Astyanax mexicanus: one gene and its partners. The protein of the gene in region 3 purifies or fractionates together with the protein of the main gene of each other region. This does not show direct contact. Links are inferred from orthologs where the notes say so. Each region holds a gene or a part of one and is shown on either strand. Other genes may lie near its edges.

The links. Proteins that work in one complex are often made in the same cells at the same time.
Region 1: the proteins of mecp2 (region 3) and ddx56 purify together in Homo sapiens (affinity purification with mass spectrometry; 3 studies listed by BioGRID and IntAct, with this or other methods). This does not show direct contact. The link is inferred for Astyanax mexicanus from reciprocal best matches to the Homo sapiens genes MECP2 and DDX56.
Region 2: the proteins of mecp2 (region 3) and cbx5 purify together in Homo sapiens (affinity purification with western blotting; 3 studies listed by BioGRID, with this or other methods). This does not show direct contact. The link is inferred for Astyanax mexicanus from reciprocal best matches to the Homo sapiens genes MECP2 and CBX5.

What each region holds. Positions count from the first base shown.
Region 1 is NC_064427.1:2,363,751-2,367,506, forward strand, and holds the start of ddx56 (probable ATP-dependent RNA helicase DDX56), read left to right. Parts: upstream 1-1,165; 5' UTR 1,166-1,233; coding exon 1,234-1,290; intron 1,291-2,349; coding exon 2,350-2,511; intron 2,512-2,838; coding exon 2,839-2,996; intron 2,997-3,120; coding exon 3,121-3,291; intron 3,292-3,756. Other genes in the region: ccar2 (cell cycle and apoptosis regulator protein 2), read right to left, coding at 172-336. UniProt on the Homo sapiens protein: Nucleolar RNA helicase that plays a role in various biological processes including innate immunity, ribosome biogenesis or nucleolus organization. Plays an essential role in maintaining nucleolar integrity in planarian stem cells.
Region 2 is NC_064420.1:888,822-892,577, reverse strand, and holds the start of cbx5 (chromobox protein homolog 5), read right to left. Parts: upstream 2,778-3,756; 5' UTR 2,655-2,777; intron 713-2,654; 5' UTR 647-712; intron 1-646. Other genes in the region: hnrnpa1b (heterogeneous nuclear ribonucleoprotein A1b), read left to right, coding at 3,432-3,443. UniProt on the Homo sapiens protein: Component of heterochromatin that recognizes and binds histone H3 tails methylated at 'Lys-9' (H3K9me), leading to epigenetic repression. In contrast, it is excluded from chromatin when 'Tyr-41' of histone H3 is phosphorylated (H3Y41ph).
Region 3 is NC_064419.1:4,150,977-4,154,732, reverse strand, and holds the start of mecp2 (methyl-CpG-binding protein 2), read left to right. Parts: upstream 1-1,106; 5' UTR 1,107-1,250; coding exon 1,251-1,282; intron 1,283-3,756. UniProt on the Homo sapiens protein: Chromosomal protein that binds to methylated DNA. It can bind specifically to a single methyl-CpG pair. It is not influenced by sequences flanking the methyl-CpGs.

The sequences.
Region 1 (3,756 bases), on a different chromosome or scaffold from region 3:
TCTTAGCTTAGTTTACCCAGCTAACTGTAGGAATATTAGTAATACTAGCGCAACACTGCTGCTACCAACTCGCCAGAAAACACGTCCACTAAACGCTACAGCTGTTTATTCTCTCCTTAAACGTTATTTATTCTGTTAATATGATGTTTTAGTGTTTAATCGCAGGCTCACCTCAGGTTTGTGTGTAGCGTTTTGTGGTCTTCGTCGTCTGCTGCTGGGGCGGTACTGCGGCAGGGTGACACCGCCAGGGCGCAGTGCTGCTGCCACCTCGCGGCCGGAGCGGAGCTGCGCTAAAGTCGCAGCATGATCTGCCGCGGTTCTGGATCTACTGATCATTAGAATAAATAAAAAAATAATTAATTAATTAAAATAAACAAAATAAATGAATAATAATACAGCGCTTGGTCAAAATAGTGCAAATGTTTTACGCCACAGGAGAGCAAAACCACTTCTTGTAGGGCTGGTGAAAAATAATGAATCTCAGTATTATTTAAATGTAGGAATTACTATTACTCAATTACTGTTTAGAGCAGTTCAAATTCAAATTCAAAACTTACTTTTTTAAATTAGTAAACAGGCAGCACCCTTTAAAGTGATGCACAAGCACACGTTTCCTAAGGATTGTTTTATGAGATGGTACATCATTATTATGAGATAGTAAGTCATAATAATGAGATACTAAGATGTCTGTGGGTATTATCATAATTATGACTTAGTATCATTTAATAATAACTTACTAGTGGCAGAACTAGTGAATGGAACTGCAATATGTTAACATATAATAATTTCAAGAATATAAGAATACAACAAAAAAATACAAGCAATACAAAAAAATATGTTCTTTAGAGTATGATTAATTCCAAATTTCTTGTTTTTCAAAAGGGTATGAATCCTTTGTTATGCTATTCCATTAGCATTATGTCAGTTGCACTTAAAATGATAACAATATTGTTTAGCACAATAATTTCTGGGACAATAAATCGTCCACACCAATATTGTGACAGGGCTAGGAAAAAAATAACTATATATCTATCATTAGAACATATCATGGAATGATTAATAACCCCAGACTAATAAAATTGTTTTTTTTTAAAATATTTTTTAAAGGACTAATGTTATGTTCTGTATGTGTAACTGCGCAGCGCCACCAGGCGGGGTCGCTGTTTGTTTCTCTGCCGCGTCTCGAGCCTCATTACTCCGCTCCTCGCGGACCCACGTGGGCAGGAGAGAAAGATGGCAGACGACAGGCTCTGTTTCCACGAGATGGGTTTGGATGATCGTCTTTTAAAGGTATTTATCTCTGTCTGATCAACGCGGTACCGGTGTGTGAAATGCGGATGTGTGTAAACAGATAATACCGTAATAAAAACGTAATAATCAGCTTAAATTCAGCCTTTAATCACCGCGCTGTTTACTGCACCATGTCCGAGAACAGAGGCGCAGAGCCAATATTCCCAATAAAAGCAGAAATCTTCAGTTTAATCGATTTCTCGTAAAGATATACCCCTCCAATCCATAAATAATAAATGATTAAACATTTTAGGTTATGTATTTATGCTTCTGTAAAGTGTTTGTGTTGTGTAATCATACTTACAGCGCCAGTACTCTACCAGAATATTAAAGTAAACATAGGTTTGTCACAATAACACATAACTGTTTTTGTGTTGATAATATATTGTCTCATAAATATTGTCGTTAAATGATAATAATGTCAATTTAAGACAAATGTAACCCCCAGAAATATTGCTAGTGTAATAGCATAATAATACAATGACAGGTGTAATAATCAGTGTAAGAGTAATGAGCTTTTAATTGTGAATATTATACAGGCTTTGTAATTAAAGTATCCTAAAAGAAAATATAAAATCAGAAATTTAATGAGCGATATAAAGGTCAGCAAAAATTAGAAGTCCACATATTGTACAATAATCAATAATGTAATTACTAAGACAGACCTACACCTTATTTAATAATAATAAAAAAAGTCCAGCATAAAAAACAGTGTTTTAAAAATGTTTTCATCCACACAAGTTTAATAACACTTCTTGTAGGACTGAATCGTATTGTAAAAACGTTTTAACTTTTAATATAAGTCTATTTCAAGTTACTTTGGAACACTTCTATTTGTAAATTATTTATGAAAGTTTAATACAATAGAAAAAAAACAAGTCTTTGTATGTTTTTGATAGCGTTAAACATTGTAAAAAGCATTACATGAATTGGCTAAAGTAGAATATATCTATTTAAAGTTCTGAAAAGCTTAGTATTTCATTACAAGTATATAAATTCAGCATTTATAATATATTGTAGCATTCTCACTGCCTTTACGTGTTCCTTTAACCCTGTCAGGCGATCGCAGACCTGGGCTGGGCTCAGCCGACCCTCATTCAGGAGAAAGCCGTTCCTCTGGCTCTGGAGGGAAAGGATCTTTTGGCCAGAGCTCGAACCGGTTCAGGAAAAACAGCGGCTTACGCCATTCCTGTTATCCAGCAGATCCTCACCTCTAAACAGGTAATACCTGACCATGTGACTTGTGACACTTTCCCTTTCCAGATGATTATACCAATACCTGCAGAGCCTATCAAATAAAATTATCAAATAAATACACATATATTACGAATTTTAAAACATTTTACAATCTGAGCTGACTTCAAAAAATGTACTAAATGGATATTAAAATTCAAAATAAATCTGTATGTATTTTTATGGAGCAGGCCGTGCCCTGATAATCCACCAGAGGGTGGTTTCTACTTTCTGTAATAAATTATTATTTATTTGTCATTTTATTTGAGATAATAAGTTTTGATCAATGGCTGTCTTTTTTTTGTTGTGTGTTAGACTGTGCAGGGGGAGCAGGCGGTCAGAGCTCTGATTCTGGTTCCTACTAAAGAACTGGGACATCAGGTGCAGACAATGATCCGGCAGCTCACTGCATACTGCGCTAAAGATGTTCGGGTGGCAGATATCTCAGGAAAAACTGAATTATCTGCACAGAAGTGAGAACACTTTTAATAATACCATTGATTAGAATAATGTGATCAATTTGGTGCTCGGGATGTAGATGTATAGTTGATAACTGTGATAATTGTGTGCATTTTTATGCGTGTTTTTGTACTTTAGGCCCATTCTAATGGAAAAGCCTGATATTGTGGTGGGAACTCCATCGCGAGTGCAGGTCCACATTTCTGCTCAGAACCTGGTGCTGCACTCGTCTCTGGAGATGCTGGTCATTGATGAGGCTGATCTTCTGTTCTCTTTCGGTTTTGAGGCTGATCTTAAAAACCTCATCTGGTGAGTGTTTCAGACTTTATTATTATACAACAATTAACAGTATTTATTTATTGTATTGGAGACTTATTGGACACTAGACAGGGGCTTATGTGTCATGCTGTGCACCACAATGTAGACATTCGCTTTCATGTGATTGGATGAGTAAAGATATTTCTATCTCGTTAACACTATATCACCACTGTTAAACATGGTGGTGGTAGCAGCAGCAACATGTTGTGATGTTGTTTTAGCTTGTGGAATAAATGTTTCTTTACCATAACATTAGAAAAATTTGGACACAGTTATGGAGCATGCTTAAATGTCAGAAAACCAAAACATTTACTGTATTTTTTGCACTATAATGTGCACCTAAAATTCTTAAATTTTCCCAAAATTGTCAGAGTAAAGAAAAAAATAATTGTATGTATAGATTTTACTAGGAGCAGTAAAGCCACTCTGCTGAAGTACAGAGTTATACAGGAGTTT
Region 2 (3,756 bases), on a different chromosome or scaffold from region 3:
TATTGTGTCGGGTGTCATTATTACTGAGAGAAACTTCAGATATGTTCACCAATTTCCTCTGAAAATGAGTTTTGCTTCTGTCTATGTTGTGATGTATATTTAAAGTTATACTGCTAAACTGATCCGCAAACAAAAACACAAAAGAGCAATGTTTCACATCACCAATCAAATGAAGTCAATTCACAGTATCAACCACTGCCTTAAAATGTTAAGTGCAATGTCATGTAAATGTGCAATTTTACATGAGAATAAGGAGGTGAGAGATGGCACAGAATCTAACGAGGCGTCTTTGAGGGGTCACAGCAGCTACTTTTACTGAATAAATATATCTGTATATGAAATTTAGTGTTTTTGTGAATTTCAACTTGTACTGAGATAAGTGGTGAATGTCCTGTATTTTCTAAATGAAATTAAAATCTCATATTCAGTAAGTTTTTGCCATCCACATAAAGTGAAATGTTATAGGGATGACTTAAGATAACATGGAAATAATAGGTAATCAATTGAAATAGTTTTTCAGGTGTTTTGACACATGTATTTATTTTTTGTTTAATGGACAGTGTTGTTATTTTTTAAGAAGAGTAGAACAGTAAACTTGTGTGATACTATACAGATGCCACTAATGCCAACATATTTTAGTGCTTACCTTTCTCTGGGACTGCAGATCAGGCTCAAAACTAAGGAAAAGCCACAGCAGGCAGCCTGCCCTCCCCTGAATATAAAACAGAGAAGTTAGAAGTGCTTTAAATTAAACATTGTGTTGATAGAAAACATTTATAGGGACATTAAGGTGCACAGAATAGGTGTACGTGTATAGTACATTTAGAGTATACTTCAAGTGTATTAAAAATGACACTTTAACACACCTGACTTACTTTACCTGACTTACAGAATGAATGAAAAATACATTAATATACAGCTCTGAAAAAACAAGAGACTACATAAAAATGATTGCTTTGATTTTACCAAATTGAAACCCTCTGGAATATAATCAAGTGGAAGACGGATGATCTCCAGCTGAACTGCTTGATTTTATCCAAATTTATCCAAAAGCAGTGTGTAAGACTGGTGGAGGAGGACATGATGCCAAGATGCATGAAAACTGTGATTAAAAAAACAGGGTTATTCCACCAAATGTTGATTTCTGAACTCTTAAAACTTTATGAATATGAACTTGTTGGTTTTCTTTTAATTATTTGAGGTCTATTTTCTCATTTTAAATAACAATATTTATATTTGTATTTTGGGAGAAATGTTGTCTGTAGTATGCAATACTACTATAATAATAGAAGAAAACAACAATGTTCATTTTACTCAAACATAAACCTTTAAATAGCAAAATCAGAGAAACTGATTCAGAAACTGAAGTGCTTGCTTTATTTTTTCTAGAGCTGTAACTTATGTAGTATCGGTGATAGCTAAGCTAGCTACCTTCAAATGTAAGCAACTACCTGTCATTCAGTCTGAAAACACAGAAATTAACGTTTAAGTACACGACTTTAATAATTACTATACAGATAAATAGATAAAATAGTTAGTTGAATGGTTTAGACAGCAAGGTTACCTACCAAACCTACATCTATAAGGTTACCTACTGAAACCCAATGGCTGCAACACGGAGCTGCTAACTCAGCTAGCACAACAGCTTGCTACTGTCGTTATATGGTTTAAAACGTGTATACAAGCATATTTGATTGATTATGCCGGTTCCTGGACGTTTAAAACATATACACGATTGAAATCTGGTTAGTAAACATTTTTGCGAAGATCATTTTAAGGCCAGCAGCTCACTATACCAATGGCATTGTCAATAGCTTAGCTAAGCTAGCCTAACTAGGTTAACCTTGCTAGCTAGACAGCATACTTAAAACGAACACACGGTGAAACCTTGTGCTTAAAACGCCCAAAAAAGCTTAATTTGGCGTAAAAATAATGCACGATATCGATTTCCATCATAAAAATGCAAGGTTAACTATATATTCAGCTTAGCCAGTGTTAGCTACAATGCCGGGGTTTTGGAAGATAGCTAGTGTTAGCTACCTAGCTTAGCTAACGCCAGGTTAACCCTATAAGTTAGCTAGCTAAGCTAAGCTAACGCAATAACTTATCGTGTCTTCTACAAAAACAACAGCTAACTAGCTACCCAAACGCCAGTAGTTAAGATATATAAAGCTAAACGTGATATAAAAATAATTTATTTAAATTAAAATGTGAAAGAATGATGAGTTCATAAATTAAACCAAGCTGATAGCTAACGCTAACTAAAATGCTGCGGCGCTGCGAAAAAAAAAACATGGCGCCTAGCTTTAGCTTAGCAAGTGTTGGCTATCCAAATAGTTTACCATAATTACTGCTTAAAACGTTAAAACACTGCTTATTTCGCTGGAATGACTCAAATCTCACACGATTTAAGCATCAAAAACACTACATATATTGCAGTAAGTATAATATGATTCATATTATGATATAAATTAGCCACTAACCAGAGACACGGCTAGCAAACACTCTCCTAGCTAACCGATTTAACGACGGACCGAGCGAAGCTGATCGCCCTGTTCCATAATTTAACAGCAGCTCTACTTCACCCAGATCGGTCAAAATCGTGCAGAAATATAGCTTATTAATTATGTCAAGCGAAATCGGATGAAACTCACAGAAATCTATCTTCTCCTGCGCTTGATTTGTAGTTAAACCGCTTCTCGCTCGCAGGTATGAAGCCCCAGCTCTACTAGATATGTATGTGTGTGTCTGCGTGTGTGTGTGTGCGCGAGCTGCAGCGCGCCAAAAACACACAATGGTAGCTGACTACATACACACACACACACAAGACGATGCAGACACAAGCAAACCTGCAGCAAGTAATTCAACACAGTCACTAGTGCAACAAAGCCATCGTCTAAGAAAAACAAACATTTACTATATTAGCTAGATATTATGTAATTTAGATAGCTAAAACATGTGGAACGTGTATAGTGAGTGGCAAGCAACCATGACTGTAGCGAGCTAGCTGTGTGGTTTTGAATGAACAACACAGACGTATATATGTGATATATGTGCATATATATACGTGTGAATTGTTGTAAAAAAGAAAATGAAAGGTGGGCTACGTTAATCGTTTAATATAAAAGCAGAATAACATTTTATTGAGTCTTTAAATCAAATCAGTTTTACGCCTTCGCTGCCGAGCAGTTGTCTATATGCATATTACGCTGTGGAAGTCTCGAGATTGACACGGATCCAAGCCAATCCGAAATGAAAGAACGTAAGCGTAGCACCGTGGCGGGAATTTTCAGCCAATCGTAGCTCGCAGGGGCGGGACAAGTGGGTGGGGTGTGGATATATGGTATGGACCGGGTTTTTTTTTTTCTCCTCCTTCTCGGCGTTTTCGTCGTATTGTGTGTGGCGCAGTTTGGTGAGGGCTGCTGTGCAACATGTCGAACGAGGTGAGTTAAGCAGTTTATTTCGCATTTATTCGGGGTTTAATGTGGTTATGAGTTGTGTATGGGGTTTAATATATGTGGGGATCGAGTTTATGAGCTAAATGATCAGGGTAATAATTTGTAATGGAGGGCAATGGGCTAAGGTTAGCTGTCTTTATTTAGCCGAATGCTAGCGGGTAGCTACCGCCATTTTGTTTTTGTGTAAGGGCTGCCGCTAGCTCGTGTTATGTCGGAATTTGTTACCCGGCGGTTATGTGCTGCTTGCTAGCAGTGCGCTTGCGCTGACTAACTAGTTTAATTTGCCTTTATGTGCCAT
Region 3 (3,756 bases):
GGGCCAGGGTTAGGTTTGTCCTGAGTTTTTGGTTTTGTAGATGATGCTCACTCTTCTGGTTTACACTGATCGATACAGTGTGAAGCTTCTTGGTCTGATTATATTTCACTGATCTTAAAATTGGTGAAAATCAAATAAGCTAGTGTTCTGAAAGCATGCGGTTATGTTCCTATGTGCCATAAACGGATTAGAATCGGGTTAGAGAATTAGAAACTGACAGGAATAGGAGGTGAGCAGCAAGTAGGGCATAAAGAAAGCAAAATCATGTAGCCTGAAATTAAAAGTGTTTGTCTTAAGGTAGATAGTATAACAAGGTGTGTTCAAACTTTTGACTGGTAACGTATAATTTACAAGACAAAAGAATTAAAACCTACAGTACAAATCTTAACATTAATGCATAAATTAGGATAAAATATTAATGCAAACTCTGGAAGTAGTTCCCATCAACTGCTTGGCAGTCAAAATAATCTTCTAATTATCTAAACATCATAAACATCATAAGTTTTAAAATTTCACCATAATATTTATATCAGTGTACAGCAGGGTTACACCGTGAGCTCTACACTGTAAAACTCGAACAAAAACACAGTGCAAACAGATAATGTAGTTTAGCCTGTCACAATAATTGTATTATCAATGTCCTCAATATTTATTCCGAATTAGAATATTGTCTATTGTGTTTGTTCACATTCATAAAAGTGAACAGTATTTTAGCCAATGCTTCAAAAAAGTATATTATATAGTATATTTCCCAAATTATGATTAATCGCAAATTTGTTGTCGTTAAAAGTATATGATTGCTTTGCTGTGTTATTCTGTTATCATTATATTTAATGGTCATAAACTGACAATACTATTGTTAATTAATAATTAATCACAATAATTACTGGGACGATATATCAAGATATATCAATTTTATTACAAAATACAAAAAACACATAAACACCCTCCTATTCAGATGTAACAGTATGGTATTGCAGTGTGTGTGTGTCTGTGTGTGTACCCCCCTCTCTCACTCGGCCTAGACATACATTCCTCTCCGATGATTGCCTGCCCCCCCCCCAGTTCTCGCGAGAAGTGCTGCCGCGCAGAGCGGGACAGAGCGGCGGAGCGGCCGCGGAGGTCTCGCGAGATGTGCAGCAGAAGCGATGGTGTAGAAGAGGGAGTGGGGAGAGGGCGAGGGGCGCCCACAAAGATGTTGCGTGATTTTTTGGGGGAATTTATTTATTTAAATAATAAAATATAAAAAAATGGCCGCCGCGGAGAGCGGAGAGGAGAGACTGTAAGTGCAAAATTGCTGTTTGTTGAACGCCGTAAAAACCGCCGCGGAACCGCTGATTCAAATGTCGGGCGCCGCACAAAAAAGCGCCGCTGCTGTTGCGCAGTATTCATTGTAGCTGTACCGGAGCCGCTGTTGGGCTGCGAAATAAATAAATAAAATAGTAGTGCTGTTAGCTCGCCGCGCTAGCCCGTTAGCCAGCTAGCCAGAAAGGCGTTGAGAGGATACGTCACCTGTATTTCCCCCTCTGCCTTTCCCAGAATCGCGGGGGATACGAGCGAATAGCTACTTTCCGCGCGGCTGTTCGGTTAGCTAGCTTAGCTCAGTAGCGGGAGAGGAGCAGGAGGAGGAGGAGGTGTGTTTTGGGTCGTTTTCTGACCTCACTCAACTCTCTGCGAGATAACCTGGCTAGCTAACTAGCTACTACCTCCAAACCTCTCTCTTTATGTGTGTGTTCTCTCGTGAAATACTGTAGCTAAGCTAGCTAGTGCCTCTCTTGCTGCTTGTTGTCCTGCTTTCTCCTTCTTCTCTTTCTTTTTTTTGACGGTTCAAAACTGAACCCGTTCACCCCACCGTGCAGTTAGTTGAAAATAAGTTAGTTAGCCAGCCTGCTATCTATCTGTCATACCCAGAAACCTGCTTCTGCTGTTTTCATGCTTGTGCCTTCTCACAACAATGTTAGTAACTGAAAAACACACAAACTCGTGTCATAGTCGCTTTAGAGCACACACACACAAACACATGTATATGTTAGACAGGCTTGTCTTGTTTGTCTTGTTTGATGGTCAGTCAACTAGTTGGCTTAGTTAGCTTGATGTACAGTTACAGCTGTTGTCTCTGGTCAGTTGAGTTCAGATGGAGGTTTTGCGTTTTTTTCTTTGGGAGAGGATGAGCTGGGGTGAGTGCACTCACTCTGAGCACAAGACACTCCCATCTCATTTCAGATTTCAGGTTAGTTTCTGTACCAAATGGGCCACAACACAGTGCTGCTTTAGGTTGTCACATCTTGGTCATCAAAACATCACACAAACTCTTAGCCTACTACCTGCTCTCACATGGTGGCCTGGTTTGGGGTAATTTTCTGAAATCACTGGCTAGCTAGCTAACTAGCTCCTATCTCCAAACCTGTGCATGTGTGTTTTTTTGGGAACAATTTTTTTTTTTAAATGTGAAAACGGCACCGGTTCACCCCACTGTGCAGTTGAAAATAAGTTAGTTTGCCAGACTGCTATCTGTCATTTCCAGAAAGTTGCTTTTGCTTCTAATGTTTCCATGCTTGTGTCTTCTCACAGCAATAATACTAACTAAAAAACACATAAACTTGTGTTATAATGCCTTTACATTCACACACACACACTTGCTGACTGTTTCTGCTATTTTGTTTGATGGTCACTCACCTAATTTGATGTGCAGTTACAGCTCTCAGTTCAGGTCAGTGAGTACATATAACCTGAAATCATCCACATTTTTCGATGGTCATTCTTAGCAGCATAGTGTTTTTAACCCAACTAACTTCACATGCTATTGCATCTGTTGCTGCTACTGAGGTGGATACAGGTGACAGTTCAGTTGAGTTCAGTTCAGTTCAGTTGGTGGCTTTACTTTTTTGTGTTTTCTTTTTTTATGTGGCTTGAAAACTATACTAAGTTTGCTCATGCTTGCAAATTATGCATTTGGATGCTTTTTAAGAGAGATGAGGACACCCTTAACCTCCAAGCACATTCTTTTCCGAAGCTGTAGTAGTGACAAACATTACCCGAACGTTTGTTGTAGAACATCTAATGCTAGCTTCCACACATGCTGGCCTGATTCTGCGGTCTGTTTGTGTGCACATGCATGCAAATTACTTAGTTAATTAGTTAGGATGGTCTTGTTTGATTATAATTGAACTACCTTGACATACAGCTGTCAGTTCAGGACATTTCTGCTTAATGTTGTTACACCTTGGGAATCAGACTTTCACCCAATCTCGATGTAGTGCCTGCTTTTATATGGTGGCCTGGTTGTGCTTTCTATGGCTTTACCATCCAAGTTAGCAAATTTGTAGAGAAGATAGTTAAACAGTTGGAGGCTTCCATGGAAGGATGAGGACACTAGTATATGTAGTGCTTGCTTTCCGCACACACACACACATATGCTGGGCTTGCCTTTTTGTCTGTTTACATACATATGTTTGCAGGTTTTTTTTAGCTAGTTAGGCTGGTCTTGTTTGATGGTCACCAACAACTTGCCTGCTGTGCAGTTATAGATGTCAGTTTAGGTCATTTGAGTTCAGATGGAGGTTTTTCTTTGGGATTAATGAGCTGGAGTAAGTGCAAGTGCACAAGACACTTCCTTTTAAGTATATATGTGATTTAAGGGTAATTTGGTTGCGTTTCCGATTTCAGGAACACAACACATTGCTTCTTGGATGCATTCTGAAATACCCATCTACATATGTAGCTTCTTATATGTTCTCACATGTGGGACATCAGACT